Linked DNA regions of Neodiprion lecontei. The main gene of each other region encodes a partner of the protein of the gene in region 3 in a complex. Links are inferred from orthologs where the notes say so. Each region holds a gene or a part of one and is shown on either strand. Other genes may lie near its edges.

Evidence for each region.
Region 1: histone deacetylase 3 (region 3) and corepressor interacting with RBPJ 1 share a complex: the UniProt entries of both Homo sapiens proteins name them as parts of the notch corepressor complex. The link is inferred for Neodiprion lecontei from reciprocal best matches to the Homo sapiens genes HDAC3 and CIRSR.
Region 2: histone deacetylase 3 (region 3) and G protein pathway suppressor 2 share a complex: the UniProt entries of both Homo sapiens proteins name them as parts of the N-Cor repressor complex. The link is inferred for Neodiprion lecontei from reciprocal best matches to the Homo sapiens genes HDAC3 and GPS2.

What each region holds. Positions count from the first base shown.
Region 1 is NC_060264.1:2,183,211-2,188,555, forward strand, and holds corepressor interacting with RBPJ 1, read left to right. Parts: upstream 1-2,022; 5' UTR 2,023-2,196; coding exon 2,197-2,268; intron 2,269-2,379; coding exon 2,380-2,474; intron 2,475-2,556; coding exon 2,557-2,807; intron 2,808-2,899; coding exon 2,900-3,032; intron 3,033-3,278; coding exon 3,279-3,410; intron 3,411-3,498; coding exon 3,499-3,913; 3' UTR 3,914-4,337; downstream 4,338-5,345. Other genes in the region: sesquipedalian-1, read right to left, coding at 866-1,222, 1,296-1,589. UniProt on the Homo sapiens protein: May modulate splice site selection during alternative splicing of pre-mRNAs. Regulates transcription and acts as corepressor for RBPJ. Recruits RBPJ to the Sin3-histone deacetylase complex (HDAC). Required for RBPJ-mediated repression of transcription.
Region 2 is NC_060264.1:3,719,346-3,725,466, reverse strand, and holds G protein pathway suppressor 2, read left to right. Parts: upstream 1-2,057; 5' UTR 2,058-2,222; intron 2,223-2,645; exon of another isoform or gene 2,646-2,811; 5' UTR 2,812-2,904; coding exon 2,905-3,001; intron 3,002-3,112; coding exon 3,113-3,329; intron 3,330-3,610; coding exon 3,611-3,779; intron 3,780-3,861; coding exon 3,862-3,976; intron 3,977-4,110; coding exon 4,111-4,164; intron 4,165-4,275; coding exon 4,276-4,434; intron 4,435-4,558; coding exon 4,559-4,683; intron 4,684-4,779; coding exon 4,780-4,947; 3' UTR 4,948-5,044; downstream 5,045-6,121. Other genes in the region: uncharacterized protein LOC107220910, read left to right, coding at 1-47, 124-211, 307-537, 652-765; probable ATP-dependent RNA helicase spindle-E, read right to left, coding at 6,041-6,121. UniProt on the Homo sapiens protein: Key regulator of inflammation, lipid metabolism and mitochondrion homeostasis that acts by inhibiting the activity of the ubiquitin-conjugating enzyme UBE2N/Ubc13, thereby inhibiting 'Lys-63'-linked ubiquitination.
Region 3 is NC_060262.1:24,830,115-24,837,452, forward strand, and holds histone deacetylase 3, read left to right. Parts: upstream 1-2,065; 5' UTR 2,066-2,354; coding exon 2,355-3,656; 3' UTR 3,657-6,300; downstream 6,301-7,338. Other genes in the region: uncharacterized protein LOC107217481, read right to left, coding at 7,149-7,238. UniProt on the Homo sapiens protein: Histone deacetylase that catalyzes the deacetylation of lysine residues on the N-terminal part of the core histones (H2A, H2B, H3 and H4), and some other non-histone substrates.

The DNA.
Region 1 (5,345 bases), on a different chromosome or scaffold from region 3:
ATATAATATACGTATAAGGATTTGATTCTATACAAGTACTTTGTACAGAATTCTATTTCGTACAGCTTTTTAATAACACTACGTAGACTAGCGTCTCACATTTACCTAAATATCATCAATGTCATATTCCAATCATATTTTTATTAAATACATGGTGATGTGAAATTTTATGACCATGTGACTCAACCACCATAAAACTTTTTTCAACACTATTTTTTTCTGTGAGGTTAATCAATCATGTATTTTTTACACACAATGTTTAATGTACTGCAATATTTTACCACAGCTGGCTGTTGACTTATTTATTAGATTATTAATATAATGTTGACTAATAAAATACTTATTTAGGTATTTACACAAGAAAATGAATTACCCATTATTTCTCTAATCCTGTTGTATCATTGCCGTCACTACAAATATATGTATTATATTTATAGCGATCTACGCACTGATCTGTAATTTGTCTCAAGTAATATTTAAGTAGCATTTCGCTTTTGGATCACGAGAATGAGGACGAATGCATTCTATGATCAGTACAATTCGAATCTCGCGTTTGAAAATTATAAATATGGTGATAAAATTCATCAGTGATGATACATATGAACTGCATCAAAACCGATTCTCGTATTAAATTCGGGAAAAAGCATTTTTAAAGAGATACGATTAGAAATACTTGAACAATGAGTCAAATGCGATGTACACTATAAATTTCCATCGGACATTGATAAATGGAAGAATCTCATCCATCAAATCAAATTGTAGAATTGCATTAGAAACATCGAGAATCGAAAGAGCATAGAAGTAAATTTCTGGTTATTATCTAACAATTATTTGCAACTATATTTACCCGCAATAAGTCTTTCTATTACAGTGCTATAAGTGGAGCTTCGACGCTCCGTTTAGAGTGTCTCCATTCATTAAGATCGGCCAATATCCTCCTCCCGTAAGCGGTATGGAGCTCTCTAAAAGTAATTCTCGTTCTTGGAATATTCTCGGTTCTTCCTGGAGCAGATCTGACACTTTGAGATCGATGATGAGTATCAGGTTTGTTAAATGGATTGTGGCGTTGTCTAGGTGGCGCCTTGGGAGATTCAACAGGTGGAGAAGTAGGTGTGACTTCTTCCTCCGCAGCGTCCAGCTGCCGTTGTAGTTCGGCAACCATTAATTTCATGTAATCATAACTAGCGCATGCCAATGCCTTCATCCACTGCTCCATTGAATCCTACGAATTTATAAAAAAACAAAATAAGGCTTCCGGCCAATTGAAAGTTGGAGACAAGGAGAAAAATACTCACTTGCGACTCGGCTCCCAAGGCGTAGCTTCTGTTGTTGGGACCGTGGAAAACGATTTTGAAACCAAACTGCTCCTCGTCTTCAGCGAGCTCGATGGTGCACCCTTCGAGGACGATCATCCCGACAGGTTCCTTGTCGCCTCGCCGATCGAAATAGAACAAAATGTTGCCCTTGAGGACAAACCACCGCCTCTGGTATCCTCCTTTGACTTCGCCGCGTTTGTTGAGCCATCCCTCGCGGTCTACAGGAGTTGCTGACGTCGCGAAAGCGACCATATTTTTCTCGTTTATTTTCATCGCGTCGAAATGGTGTATTATTGGCTCTCTACGTCTTTCGCCTCAAATATTTGTTAGGTTATGTTGACCTGTCAGGTGCGTACGGACACGGCCATATTGGATCTGACGTCGACTATCGCTCATTTTTTCCTCGTACTCATGTGACGCATGTCGTTGACAGCTACGCTCATGTTAGGTTTTAAAAGCGCTGTAACAGTTGGAAAAATATTGAAGTTCTTGACAAAAATTATTTGAGTTGCTAAATTCGATAATATTTTAACGCGAAATAATTCGGAGTGAAATTGTTCATAAATTTTTTATAAAAAAAATATTAAACTGTGCTGTGTAATTTAATTCTAAAATGAGTCCGGTAAACGACCACAGTTTTTAGTTTCAAAAAATGCCGACTCTTCGACGTGGCAGCAGTACTTTCAGTTTGCTTTTTCACAACTCTTCACCACTCTTCATCGTGTCTGATGATTGTGGTGTCACCTGAATTAACCTCGTCATTTTTATTTGTCAAAGAAGTATTGACCGTGGTATTGAGTGTTGTGTATTTAATTTTCTGTCAGCTGCGCCATTTTTTTCTAAAACACGTTGATTATTGTTTACAACATAATCACCAGTCATGGGAAAAGGATTCAATAATTACATGTGCAAGAAATTCTTTCACCCAGCATCTAGGGATAATTTAAAGCGAGTACGTATACGACACATACGATATAATACGAGAAATTCTATGATTCACTCGCGAACCCGTCAACGTTAGATGATCAACGATCTAAAATCGATATTAACGAATGATTAACAGGTATGGATGGCCGAGCAACAGGCTGAGGCGTATAAGAAGAAACAAGAGGAATTACGTGTACAGTACGAGAAGGAACAGGATCTTCACAACAACAAGTTAATATCCGCATTGATTACATACATTCAAGGCAATATCGAAAGCGTGGTCGATAATAAAGTGCAATTTAATTATTTCCAGAGCTCTGCTGAGCAAGGAGAGTAAAGACAAATTGAGCGTAAATTTTATGTACGAACCTCCGCCAGGGGCAAAAAAAGAAAGAGAAAAGGAAGACAACGAGCCTGAGTATAAATTTGAGTGGCAACGAAAGTATAACGCGCCGAGAGAAAGCTACTGTAAAGGAGACAGTGAGATTAGAGATCAACCTTTTGGTATACAGGTTCGGAACGTTCGTTGTATAAAATGCCACAAGTGGGGTCACATCAACACAGGTAAATTTAATTCTTTCTGTTTATGAAAATAAGAAAATTAGCATTTTCTAGTCACACATCTTGATTTTTTTTCTCTATTCTCTCCCTCGCAGACAAAGAATGCCCGCTGTATAGCCAAGCGATGAGCGTAGTAATGGCCAATACCCAAACTCAACCAGCATCACCAGCTCCCGATGCTCTGACTCTGGTCCAGCAAATGAGGGATGATGGATTGGCACTGAAAAAGTAAATTTCAGCACAATTTTTAGTCAACTCGAGTCATATCTTGTAATAATTTACTCTTTTTGAGTCTGGAACGTACTCTCTCTACAGCTATCATATCTTCCTGATATGACTGTGGCTTATATTTTCATTACGACTGTATTACTATAATCCATCAGGGTGAAAATAAAGATATTATGAGGCACGACTATAGTATATACTACACAGTAGGGACGAATTGAATCTGGTGATACTGATTTTTTTGTTTAGATCGGCTCTGGATGCTCAACAACACCTCAGGGTACCGGAACACCAAGATCTGATGGTTTCTGAAGATGAAGAGCAGTCTGAGGTTAATTTTTTGAGATCTCTTTCGAAAAAAGAGAAAAAAAAGCTGCTCAAGTGAGTATTGAATAGGGGCGTGCGTTTGTGAGATTAATTAATCTGTAGAAACATTGTACAAAGTTTGAATTTTGTTTTTCTTCTATAGGAAATTGGAAAAACTTGAAAAGAAAAGCCGGAAAGAAAAGAAGAAAAAGGTGAAAAAACATGATGCTAAATCTAGCAGTAGCGATGATAGTAGTTCAGAAAGTACAGATGCACATAGCGATAGAAAGAAAAAGAATAAGAAGGCCCGGTCCGAAAAGGAACCAGCATTCCACTTGGACGGCAATTTCGAATACAAAGATACTGAAGGAAGAAGGTATGGTGATAAGAAAAAAAAGCATAGAAAAGATAATAAATGTAAAGCTGATACTGATAATAAAAATAGAGAAGAAAAAGAAAACTATAGGAATAAATCTAGCAAAGAACATCATAGTAATGGAAGAAAGAGGAGTTATAGTCAATCTAATGAAGAGCAACGTACGGAGCAACATAGAAGAGAGAAGAAAGGAAAATATTAATTAAAATTTAGATGTACGTACCTAAAATATGTAATTTAGTTGATTCCGCTCTTTCGATTCCTTGAGTTTGAGACGAGACTCACTCAGAGTATCTTTGTTAGCTGGTTAAAAACCAACACCCAAGCTTATGGGTGTTTTACTTATATAAATATGTAATGTAGGTAATAAGCAATTGTTACTTTCAATTCTTATTGCATAGTTGAAAAAATGGTCATTAAATTATGTGGAATTAGGAAATTATATCGTTAAGAATTAAAATTACCGTTATAAACATATTATGCATATGTCACATTCGGTTATTACATGCATACATACATACTTAGATGCTAGGTATAAGTAAAAATAAAATTGTACACAAGCGAAGGAAAACTGTTCTATACGATGTACAAAATTTGAAATAAAATTCAATTGATAACAGTGAGAATCTGTTGTGTAAAATTATTAACCATAATATCAATGGTGGACAAGTTTAGGTTAGTCTGTTTCGAAAGCAGACAAAGGATTCTTAGTCAATTTGGTGTGAAATATAAAGTACCTTAATTGGCAACAGTAATAATTATGATCGACGAAAATAAAAGTTAACAAAAAGAGACATTCCTGTAGATTTATTCAATTTACTTACAATATTAACGGAAGCGCTTCTATAAGAGGGCCTTAAACCTTTTCTAATAAATCAAATACGTCCTTCTCGCAAGGATAAAAATATATTACCTGTGCATTATTATTTATATGCGTGTATAATATTTTTATTTTTTTTTTATATTAGGTACTTTAAGGTTGTAACTCAATCCCAGTAATATTTATAATTTATATCATATTCATTCACCTGTAAGCCACAATTTAACTATTCGATATAAGTTTCATTTTATCCTATTCATTGTAGATGTAACATATTAAGGAAATTTCAAAGTGGAACAACAAATTCATGCTCTTCAATTCCGTCGCTCTTCATATACGTGAACTTAAAAAGCTAACAAGACTTAAATACGTCAAGTTTGACATTGAACAATATTATCATTTACATATCAATATTGAAGAAAAACATTTTATTCTTTTTAATTATATATCAGGAGGTTGGCATAACTTTTGTACATACAGAAGCGACGTGAAACCGACAGTTGGAATTGAACAATTGTAAATGAGCATGCGGCTTGTAAGTGAATAAATACGGTATTAGATTTTAAAAATATATACCTATAATAACGTAAGTCTATATTACAAACACCACACACTCAGGTATACAAGGCTACAAGCAAATGTGCGTTATTTACGAAATATTTTTTACACAACGAAGGCCGATGTCGTAAATAATTCTTTCGATATTGAGGAATAATCTGAAACACGAAACTGATGACACAGCCTTCACAGAAAATGTATGCATACAATATTATATACATGTACAATATGATAGTATAATGTTTCTAATCAAATC
Region 2 (6,121 bases), on a different chromosome or scaffold from region 3:
AATTTAACTAATCCCAGGGCCGTACTCCTCGCACTGTTCTTTCAAAAGTAACTTATCAATCGATGATAACATATGTTTGAATAAAGATAAATAAAATATTTAAACCTGATGTAAATTTTGCAGTTTTGAGTATGATCCAAAGGCGTTGGATTGCGAGGAAAAAAATCTACAACACTTTATTACCTTTGCAGATGAGGCAGAAATCCCTGCGGTGAGTTCAATTACTTTTCATCTCGGTACATCTCTCTAATTGAATTCAATAACGTTACAAGTTTCTATCAAAGACTTGACAATCTACATTCCCAGGATGGAGAATTACGCAATGAGGTTTGTGCTCTGCTGAAAGCAGCTGCTACTCATAGTACAGATGCACACAAGGTTGGAGGTGCCTTTGGCGAAGAGGATGCTCACTATCTTCTTGACTTGGATATGGCCATACTGGGTGCCGAACCTGAGAAGTATACAGAATATACAGAACGTGTACGCGGTGAATATGGGTTCCTTAGTGCACCGATGTATACCGCGTTAAGACTTAAGGTAATTTGTATACGTCCTTATGTTCCTACTTTGTACAGACATTTATAATTGATATGATCTTTTGTTCGCTTTGTTTTCTTTTTTTTTTGGGTTGATGGCATACGAATTTTACAGGTGTTGCAAAATTTTTTGCAAATTCCAAACATATTTGCTACCAAGGAGTTTCGCGAAAAGTTTGAGGAACAAGCACGTAAAAATATCCAAGCTGAAGTTGCGCTGTTGTCTTAGGAATTGAAGATTTGATGTCGTATGGGCATTTATACCTAAATGTTAACACCTTACATTTACGTTCGTTTATTCTTCTCCTTTTTCGCTTTTTTACTGTTGCTAACTAAACCGCTGTGATTGAAATGATCGAGATATTATGTAAAACAACAACGGATACATCACCTATAACTGATTGTGAATGTGAGAATATAAATATTCGTTATAATTCAACATGTATTATCATTAACATGACAAAAAATTCTGATTTACAAACATTGTTGACATAATGTGGTACAACTATAAAGAAAATTTCCAGCCACATTGACGGTCCCCATTGCTGTCTTTTTTTAAATAATATTTCAAAAATCAGAGTTGCATATTTTTCAGTGTGAATAATGGACAATATATCTGATTTTTTTTAATGATATTAAATTCAAAACACGAACAAGAATTGACGTCGATCTATTATAATTCATGAAGTATGTACACATGTCTTTAGCTTCGATATACTAGATGCGATATTGACAGACAACGGAGTGAAAATACTACGTGTAATAAGAAGAGTATCTTCATTTTAAAGATTTTTGCCAATGATGCGCACATGTAGTTTCTTGGTCGAATAACGAATCGAATAGGAATCAAAGACATTGATACGTGTTTCGTGAATTAGTTATTGTCTTGTATGTAATAAATCGATGATTTGTGACAAAATAAAAACGTATATGATGTTGTAGTTTGGGTATAATCGTTAATAGAGGACCCCATGAATCATGTTCTATCATCAATACATATTTTTTTATAAAAAGGCTTTCGACCACCAGCAGTTGTACTCTACTATGGTAAATATTGCTCTGCATTATCCATTGCTTTCGTGATGCTAAATACGACAGAATATTGTCGGTAACCGAAATGCATTTACCGTCCAGGAGCACCTGGAAAATTAGTTCCAAAGACTTATTTAGTATCATAGGGCGCTACTAAAACGGGGACATGAATAAAAAAAAAAAGTGTATTAATTCATTACAATATTTTTCATGAGCTGTCGAAATCTTCCCTCGCTGAGTGTAGTATGCTCCACCGTACCGTTTCCGAATAATTTCAATCCAAAGTTGAGGGTTTTACGGTACGAACAACGCGAGCAAGCGAGAGCGAAAACGTACCAGTAGCGTTTGGCTCATTGACAATACCTATAAGCATAGACCGCGTAGCCGGCCTGAGAAGTCGATAGCGGGATAGAAAGAGAAAGTTGCATGGTTCACCGCAGTCTTCGTCTGGTGGCACATGCGCGGGGCACGCGTAACTACGAATTTGCGCGTTCACCGCGTCCACTGAGTTTATTATTATATCCATGTTGCTACCAAATGTTATTTAATGTGATTTTGTGTATGAAAATAACTGAAAATACTAACCAAAATACCAGGAATATGCCTCATATGTAAAGCAAAACAAATTCCAAAATGCGAACGTAGTTTTCACATGTAAGTATTGTATTTGTAGTTTATAGCCTAAACTACAAATTTCATACTTATATACATTGATTCGTATTGTGATTGGAGGTTTCCCAAAAATGAATCAATAAAGCACAGACAGCATTTTACAATTTAACATTCAATTATTTGATTCTAATGTTTTATGCGTGGTTTTATGTATATACAATATAAGAACTTCCACTCCTCCGTTCATTTTCTATTTCATTCTTGCTGAAAAGAAACGCGGAACGCGCATGCGCCATTAGACAAGGATACAGGTGTTATATGCAGCTTTCTCTTTCTATTGCGCTACCGCATTTACCAACGTGCAACCTCCGTACTCCGATGGTCTATTATCCTTGCATGCCTCTGAGTAAGCAATAAGCTTACACAGGCCCGTATACGTGTGTCGGGCATATATGCAGGTACAAAAGTGGGCGAAACTATCATAGTACCAACCTATAGTCATTTGCGTTAACATCTGTTTGTAAAAAGTAAATAATATTAAAATGTAAAGAAAAATACACTATGAACTTCGTAACACGAAATGAAAATTACTGCACAAATCAATAACTAGTTATTGAAAACGCGTTTGTAGACTGGTGGTTACAGGACGGACAGCATAGTTTTGTAGGACTTACTAAACTATTTTCGTTTTGGAGTGAACAAATTTCATTGACACCCCATCAACATGCCAGCTGTAATAGTCGAGCCACCACAGCGCAGCGAACAGATGTGGCAGGCTTTAAAAACCCATATAACTAGAGAACGTCAAAGAAAGAAACAAGGTAACTCAAGTTTTAACTTTGTGACAATATCGCCCTACGGAAATGGAAATTTTTTTTAACATCAACAGCGTAACAAATCCTTTGCATACACGTGTTATATTTGATGTACAGAGCAAGAAGCAGATGCTGAAGAGGAACGTCAAAGGAAGGAAAGAGAGCGTCAACAAAAGCAGGATGTTATGACACTTGGAGAAACTCGCGTTCAGATATCACGTCTCGAAAGTGAACTGTCGCAACTCAAGGATGAGAAGCATCAGCTCTTTTTACAACTAAAGAAAGTTCTGAACGAAGATGATAATCGCAGACGTCAACTTATCAAAGAGACTAGGTGATAACTTATCAATACAATGAAGCAATTCCTTACAGTTAGCACTTCGGTAATACTGCCTTGTGCTCACAGATGACTAATATTGCTCGAGACGCTAATGAATTAGCGTAAAATTTGTGAATCTGATAGTGCTTATCAGACTCATAAATTTTCTGCAGAAGAACCAGGAACCTCAAAATCTTGGTCCTTACAGCAGCCTGAGCTGTTTTATAAATGAGATATGTCGCCTTTCATTGTTAGTAACGTTTCTTTGGTAATAATGAAAAAACTTACATTTTTAGCGTAACGTCGGAGGTGTTGTCGGCAGTGGGTGGCTACCCTGGCACCGGAGCCGGAGTGGTTCATCCTCAGTTGTTTTTACCACTGCAAACACGAAGTCCGCATTACAAAGTTCCAGCAACTGCACCAACGCACTCAATGCTGCCAAGTGTGCGTACAATTCACAGAATTGCATGTATCGTTTGGTTTATTTTTCTCAAAAATTATCATTACCTCAATTTCGATTTCATCTTATTCTTGTGTCTGTTTTCAGGGACCCTTGAAGCGAACGCATAGTCCTTCACCGCCTCTCACTGCTTCCCCGTATCACTCCGGATACGGATATAAACCTCCACCTTCCATTCCCAGCTATAATCCACCGCCAGCAAGTAGGTATTTTTGTTTCTTGTCGAATGAAGAAGTCTTATTCGATATGTTTTAAACAGACTATTCTTAGTCAATTCAATTTTTCTGCAGAAAAGAATGTCCTCTTGTTGCTGGTATCAAATGGTATATTTTTTAGAATCTGAAGATGCGGCGAGGAGATCTAGCGATGTCAGAGCTGTGCTTTGGAACAGTGAGTATTTAAACTTCTGATGAGCTTGGTAAAATCGAAACCTAATACTTCGTACGAGTCTGCTCATTTGAATGCAAAACGTAGTACTAACCATTTGATCTTTCTTCACAGAGGGAAACCAGTATTCAACGTCAAATTTCTACTCAGCGCCACAGGGTCAGAATGTCTACAACTACACAGCACCTAGTTCTCAGTCTTCTAGAGAACCTGAACCTGGGAAACTGAACTATTTGGCTGGTAGTCGAGGCACAATGTCATCTCATCAACCTGGTAAGGCATGCAGAGGAGTATTCAAATTAACCAAGCTAAGATTAATAACATATTCATAAACAAACCCTGATGTTGTATTCACTCATGAAGAATTCGACCAAATTCGAAAAAAAATTTTCACTAGCTTACGTTGCAAGTATGCATTCTTTGGAGCACAAAGGAGCTTATTCGGAGGACAAATTCTACCTCCGGCCAGGTAGCCACGTCACTGTTCACGGAGGAGCTATTCCCATACAACAGCCACCGCAGGTATCGGTTTCGCAAGTTGAAAACCTAAACATACAAGTCTTATTCGTTGTGAAAGTTTTATTCCTTCATACTACTTCTTTCATCACTATTTCACAGGGTGCTAAAACCGGTGGTATTACATCAGGGTATCCAGTCAGGGCACCACAGCCTCCTCCTGGTGCGTATCCACCTCCACCTGGTACTTATGTCAGTGCGTCTGCTGCAAATGTCGGTGGTCGTCTATTGTATACTCAACCTACACGGTATATGCAACGAGAAGTTTAATGAGTTGAATGATAATGATAAACATGACAATATTATTATATCACATAAACGATATACGAACCAAAATACAAGTAAAATAAAACAGTTTATTGACAAACGGTACATAACACTTTCTATATACCGACACTTATATTGTTAGATATCCAATTCATTGCTAGTATTTTTGATGCAATAGTTGATGAAAAATGAGCGAAATAAAGAGAATTTGATAGAGTAGTTAAAAATACACTATTTTGATAGGAGATTCTGCATACTTGTTCGAAGACCTTAACTTCGAATTTCTGAATATCTTTCTATTATTGCTATAGGCGCTCGAAAATCTGGTACTTATTTAACAATGTGTAACAAATTTTAATCAGTAATTATATTTTATCTGAGCTAATATACATATGTCATATAATGATACAGTGATATTTTCACGTATGTATGCGAAATTACATTAATAGATGTATTTAGATGGTGAATTGCATACAGATTCCGTTGATTCTTTACTTCGGGTTGCTGCACTTATTTACCCGAAACTTGTCACGTTGTTTCTTCTTTTTTTTTTTAAATGAAAATAATGAACGTTATCCGTTTGTAAACAAGTCAAAACTTGTTTAGTAAATAATACCTACTTAGACCTTATTATGAAACTTGATATAAAATAGTATTACAGTTTTTTACGTTTACGAAAAAACTTGATTTATTATCACACAGGATTACGCCTAGAATCGCTGTTTTAATTGAGAAGTTAAGTATATTGCATGACGTAATTTTTTAAATAATAATTATTCTCAATTTTGTCACAATCAAACGTAAAATCTTTCACATAGTAAAACTCAGTACTATTATTTATAATAATAATTATTACACTTCTTTTTCATGGTTAATCAGTAGATACAAACTTATGTGCAATGTATCCGGCACAGCGAGGTAACTCAAATACCATTGTTTTGATTTCGAACGAGTATTAAAAAAATTAAATGCATATTCTCTTTGTTACATTAATGTCAATGTACGAACACGTCAGTTTATAATAATATTTTCAGTGGATAATTTGAATACGAATACGTTGATACATGTTTTTACTTGTGTGTAGATTTAAATGTAGTTAAAGATTAGCTTCTAGCCGCTTACTTTTATGCCCCGGTGTGCTTAAGTGAAAACGAAGCATTGGAATGTCTGTTATATC
Region 3 (7,338 bases):
TCTCCATTCTCTCCAACACACATCATTCTTCATCATTTGCGTCGTGGTCACTGACTTACATTTTCGTTGGCTACCTGTTGGGAGCAAAATGTTTTTGTATCGTAGTCTGCCTACTCAGAATACAGTATCGCGGTTATCTTCCGCCAACCCTAATATTGCATTTATTATTTTAGTAAATGTTGGCAGACTATCGATACATCAACCTTTTGTAAAATTGATTAATACATCCTGTATGCCAATTAGCATTTTTCTTAGCGAGCTAAGCCTGGAGTTGCTCAATACATGTTGGATGTTAAAAGATTGAAAATGATACATAATGTAAAATGCAATTTGATTACGTTACGTTATGCCAGACTTTGGAGTTTTATCGATTCAACAATAATGTAAATAATTGAATACATTCAAACCTCAGGTGAACCCACCACTTAAACGGCTTCATCGGTAAATTCAAAAGTAGATTATTACACCAGTTACAAAACACAATTCGATCTCGCGAGTGCCGAGTAAGCGATGGTTACCTGTCGCGATGCTCATTCCACTATTAGCAGCGTGTAAAACGTCTAACATTAAGTAAGCTATGGTAAATTGCATTGCGAAAAAAAAATTATTCGACTGAAAGTTAAGCACGTTGCGTTCGTGAATGAGCCTAACCATGCAGCTAAGAAATCGAAGATTTGTGTAACAATTGTTACCGCCACGCCACGTGACAGAGGAATCCCAGGGAAATACCCATAACCTAACACATGCAAACTCACCAACGTTGCCGAGAAATAGGGAAGTTACTCGGAAGTCTCTGCTTAAATCTGTAAAAAACATAACAAGACACGTGAATTAGTTTAGCAAATTGGCTTTTCAGTTTTCAAATGAATTATTACTGTTGGCTAGTTTCGTATTTGTGCATTGCATGTTATGCAAGAACAAAATTTCGGCTTTAAATGACCACCGTGAATTATCAATCAATAATTAAAGTATTGTTACCTCGACTCTGGGTTGCTCCACACTTTTACACGTAGTAGTTCTTGTAGCATCTCAGGTTTATAGGTCAAGCGACGCACTGTTCACACAATTCAGATCTTCACTAATTTCTTATAATCCATAAATCCGCACCGCAATAACATTCGATTTGACACTCACTTTTTGTGCTGTAGCTGTCTGAACCGACTGAATAAAGCTGCTAATAAAAAACAATAAAATTAACTATCGACGCACAGACACAAAAATAGACATCACTGAAATCTGAAGTTACACAAAGCACTGAAAACTCGGGACACGAAATTCACCTTCAACGTTCGCAGGAATTTTTTTATTTCAGTAACTCGGTATTTTTTCAGGCTACACGCGGCTTCTCGTGTATTATTTACAGATGAGTGAAAATGTACTAATCGAAAATGCACTGATCGAACGTCGTGACACAAACTGAAGAACGCGGCTGGGCCTGAACGTTGAACCGGTACCGAGAACACGAGAACGCGTCACTTCGCTCCAATTGCTCGGCAACGACTGAAGCCGCGCGGCGCTCACAAGGGAGTAAAATCAGTTGTCTGAAGGACGGAAGATAATAACCCCCCCTGACGTTTTTCTCAGGAGTGGGGGTAGCTGCACGCGACATGAGGGCGGGAGAATTATTATCTTCCGTCCTTTAGAGAACCGATTCGAATCCGTTCACGGGACGCTTATGCGGTTGCTAGAGCATTACCGTAACATGCGACGTCAGGCGAAGTATGAATTCCGCGACCAATTACGGATATTTTTTGAATGGGATTTTCGCAACTGTTCAATTTAACTGTGACGACGTTATGTTACCAATATTTTGCACGCGATAGTTGTTGGTTGTGAAGAACTTCTTTTAGTGGCGTGGTCAGCCCGTCAAACTGTTACGCGAAATAACCCAGATTTATTAATCTCTATATATCCTCAGTCAACGCTTGACTAACACCCGTATTCATAGTCCTTCTATGACTATGAATACGGGTATAACACTGAACCATCACTGACCAGTGAATTCCGATGTGATCGCTAGGGGCCGTGTTGGTATTAGGTTGGCAAACCTCGCCAGGGTTCCGGCAGTACGGCAATTTTGAGAGGCGAAGGTAAAGTGAATCAACAATCCTGCAGTGTAACTGAGACACAAGACTGCAGACAGTACTTGCAGGGCAACAATTTAGATACTGAGTGGTATGACGATTGGAATAACAAAGTGTTGTTATGTATGTACGTAGCCGGTATACTTTGCAATTGGAAGTAAAAAATTCATCATCGATGATGATTTTCACGTGTAATGTCAGTACATAAATCGTAAACTACAAGAAAAGTTGTGTGTTTTATAAATTTCCAGTCAGTCTTAACCTCAAAAAATGAGTACTAACAAAAAAGTGTCATACTTCTACAATCCCGACGTGGGTAACTTTCACTACGGACCTGGACATCCGATGAAACCACATAGACTCTCAGTTATTCACAGTTTAGTGCTCAATTACGGGCTGCATAAAAAAATGCAAATATATAGACCGTATCGTGCCAGTACCCATGACATGTGTCGGTTCCACTCGGATGAGTACGTTGAATTCTTGCAACGAGTTACCCCCCAAAATCTTCAAGGATTCACAAAATATTTGAGCCATTTCAACGTAGGCGACGACTGTCCCGTCTTCGAGGGATTATTCGACTTCTGTTCCATGTACACTGGCGCGTCACTGGAGGGAGCTATAAAGTTGAACAACAATTGTTGCGATATAGCAATCAATTGGTCAGGGGGTCTACATCATGCTAAGAAATTTGAGGCATCGGGGTTCTGTTACATCAATGACATCGTCATAGCAATTTTGGAGCTGCTCAAATATCACGCGCGGGTTTTATACATTGATATAGACGTGCACCACGGAGATGGAGTCCAAGAAGCATTTTATCTGACGGACAGAGTGATGACGGTATCATTTCACAAATATGGCAATTACTTTTTTCCTGGCACGGGAGATATGTATGAAATTGGAGCAGAGAGTGGCAGGTATTACTCAGTAAATGTGCCCTTAAAGGAAGGTATCGACGACACAAGTTATGTACAAGTCTTTAAACCGGTCATCTCCAATGTCATGGAGTTCTTTCAACCGACTGCGATAGTACTACAATGTGGAGCGGATTCTTTGGCTAATGACCGGCTTGGATGCTTCAGTTTGAGCACCAAGGGCCATGGAGAATGTGTCAAGTTTGTTAGGGATTTGAATGTGCCTCTTTTAACGGTCGGTGGAGGCGGATATACTCTGAGAAACGTTGCACGATGCTGGACTTATGAAACGTCTTTGTTGGTTGACGAGCAGATAAGCAACGAGCTGCCGTATACAGAATATTTGGAATACTTTGCACCTGACTTCACACTGCATCCAGAAGTTGTTACCAGACAAGATAACGCTAATAGCAAACAGTATTTGGAGGCAATAACAAGACATGTTTATGATAATCTTAAAATGGTACAGCATTCGCCTAGTGTTCAGATGCAAGATGTTCCTTGCGATGCTCTCCCTCCGGAGGAAGAGAGACAACCCGAACCTGATCCAGATTCAAGGCAAAATCAGCAAGATACAGATAAACAAGTTGAACCTGCAAATGAATATTACAGCGGTGATAAGGACCAGGACAAATCTGACACAACGGAAATATGATTAAAGCTTATTCATAGAAATTGTAAATAGTAGGAGATTGTAAGACTAAAATAAGTATACATAAGTATTGAGTATAAGTTAATAGTTCATGTATATGTATAATTGAATGACATTATGCGATAATGAAACAAGTTGACATGCCCTGCTTTTGATTTTGTTGTTTCAAACGAATGTTGCAAATTGCATTACTAGAAAAAAGTTCATCTTCTACATTATAAGGGTGAACTTGGAATACTTATTTCAAAAAACTTCTTTCTCTGAGCTTGAGGAAAATGGTACAATTTAAAATCCACAATGTGTTTCTTGAAAATGTATATTGTTCGAGTTACCTCATTATTGCGTGCTGCCATTCAACTGATTACCTACGTATGTATTTAATTTAAATTTTTACTATTAATTGTTTTTTTTTCTCACCATCTTGGTTTTTGGCATTTTTCGCATGAGTTAAAATTTATGATGCCGAGTAAAAATGCTACAAATAATATAGAGCTAACAAAATTCCACATTTTCTTGTTTCTATACTTTTAATTACCTATTAATCAACTAGACAGTCGAATCTGAGGCACTTATTCGACAACTTTGATTTTATAATAAGTATTTCATTTATCATGCATTTTTGTACTGCCAAAATATTCACATAGGGATCAAAATATGTGTACCCCTACTATTGCTTAGGAATATCTAGTAGTAGTGTTTTGAGACTCATATAACATTTCTACTCGCATTTTTTAATTCATAATAATTAATTGCAGAGCTATAAGCATTTATAAAGTTCTACAAGTGTATTGATATAGTATGATTGCTTCTTTGCATCAAACAATTTCAATAGCCAGAATCATAATGTACAAAAGTTTATAGAAAATGAATCATTCAGCCTGCACACAGAATAAAAAGTGCAATAGTTTCTGACTTTGGTGTTTTTCAGTCCTCTGGTATCTTTTCTCAAACAGTCACTGTGTATTATACAATGGTTTCACATTTTATAACTATATAAAATTGTAACTAAGCAAATGAATTTTTGATGGCAAATTTGAAGCAAAACGATTCTAATTTAGATGAAAGAACAATGTTTTTCAGGCTAATAATTTACATTTTCTGAAATAAAAGCCCAGTGTCTTCCTGTCATCAAATACGAGAAATAAACATTTGTATTCTTTTACTTACTGTACTTAAATTATACCCTACCATTCACTTGTGCTTTATATTACGCACAGCAGTGCACAATGAATCAAGAGACAATATGTGAGAGTGAACGATAATTCGGTGAACCAAATTAATGAAAACTTATGAAGTTTCAAGTAGCTTATTTCAAAATAGTGAAAGCTCAAATATATGGGCACATACCAAATCCTTTTCCTGCTAATCATGAAGTTGCAAGAGATCATACATTTTAATCTGAAAATATCTTTACCGAGCTTGTAGATTACTATTTTTTTTTAAGTAATCATTTTGCAGCACGTGGGATAATTATTTCTGCACATTCAATGCATTCACGTACGGAAGTCAGAGACAATTATCTGTAAAATATTTACCTGTTTATATTTGCTATTTCAATTACTATTAATAAATAAAAACAGTTCTGATCCTCGTCAAGTAATTTTATTATCTATGTTTATTATCGTATTGTCAATATAATTCTCTCTGTTCAGGGGCTATGTTGCTATATCACAGAGAACTTAAAAATTACTAATCGAGTTATTTCTGTAGTTCTATGAAATAGAAGTGAGCTTGCTATTTAGACACGCACAACTTGACATGGTCAAACTTTGTGAATTACAATAAATTAGATATATTAACTTAGAATAATTGATTCATGTACAATGAACTTTACACAAAGTGACAGGTGAGGCTTACGTGGTAAATATCGTCTGAAAATAATTAATGATATATTATACTTATCGCTCTAAATTAACAATAGAAGATACAAAAATACTCAACGTGACAAGGAACACAAGATATACATACGCAAACTTGCACATAAGCACTTGAGGTTATTTGTTTAAATTATACTTCTCAACTTCACTTTTTTTTTACAGTATTTTTATATGTTTGAGATAGTTCTTAAAATCTGCATTTAATTTTATATTATAATAATTATATAAAACTGGATAAAAAGCGACATTGAGTGGATGTATGTGTATTGTATATATATATATTTTTTTTTCTTTACACGTAACAATCATAGTAATCGTCAGTATGAGGATCTATTATAATATAGTTATGTTATTTAGTTTATTTATATCGTTATGTTCTCAGTCTCATGTAAAAGCAATCCCTTTGGTGGGAAAGGGCTCCCTTAAATTATGTTTGCTTTTCTTCAATAATCGTCCTCCTAGTGCAATACATTACTTTGACAGTATCATTCAGATCAGCTTAAAGCAAAATCTAAAAATTATATGAACTGGTCGATAGGATAGGATAACGCAAGTATTCCGGCGACAGATTATAGACAACTTAGTTTTAGTGTTTTACTTGTATGAAGAAAATATGATTACTCTAATTAATCACTGCTCGATTCAATTCAATTTTGTAAACTGGTTAGATAGTTGTTCAATTCCTTTATGGATAGGTAATGTTTTTATTTCTTCAATATATTCGTAATGCATCTATCACGATCAAGATGATAAAATCTTTAATCTAGTCGGTTGTAATCGAAAAAAGAATGTGAGATTGTACAATGACAAAAGTAGCTAATTTACATCCGGAAATATAAATATTTAAGAAGAAGCATACTTAACTCGTAAATTATATGTATCTATATACTGTATAAAGGTCGTGGAATTAAAAACGTGACCACGCTCTATCGTAACATGTGCATGATTATATTTCTCTTACCTTTGAAATTAAAGGTTGACAGATTATATAACTGAACCCTATATACTTAGAGAAAGTATCACACAGGTGAAACCTAGTTTATGTCTATGTACACATAATGAATAATTATAAAAATTAAAGGCATTTTTACCAGAACGGCAGGAAGTTTTACCTAGGAGCGTAAGAAAAGAGCGCCAGCCTTGAATGCCAGCCTCTAGGTTGCATAGTTGAGTAAAAATAAAAAAATTCAAGTAAATAATCTTAAAAAAGCCATCGAGAATTCTGCACTTTGGAACAAGCTCTTCATTAGAAAAATCACAATGCTAAAATGTGAAACATACATTAACATAAATGTCGAATACTTTCAGTTAAAATTCATCAAATTTAGAATTTGATAAATATCATGAAATGAACAAAGGAACTATCTGGAGACGATTTAATTCCACAGCACTCTTTTCTGTGATTCACACTCTCAGGTTTGGTTGACTAGATGCTTGCATATAGCCTGCCGGTAGTCACTGCCTTGTGTTACTATTGGTCATATCATTTTTTCCCAAACCTTTGCGTTCCATGTGTTGACTGAACAAAGGTTGTATATGCTGCACATGCAGCTAAATAGGCATTGGCTGAGATAAACTGGGTATTTGCTTTTACTTCTTCAATTTTCTGATGCACTTTTCACGTTTCAAAGTGTTTGTAGATACTAGTCACGTACGACATCACCTGTTGCCAATCCGGTCGCTCCAGTTGACACATGTCTCCGATGTTCTAATGGAAAAAGTAATTTCTTCATATATACAAACTCAACGCACAGTATTTAATAGTATTTGTGTTCGAATCATCCTGTCAAGGGTGCGCTATGTTCAAC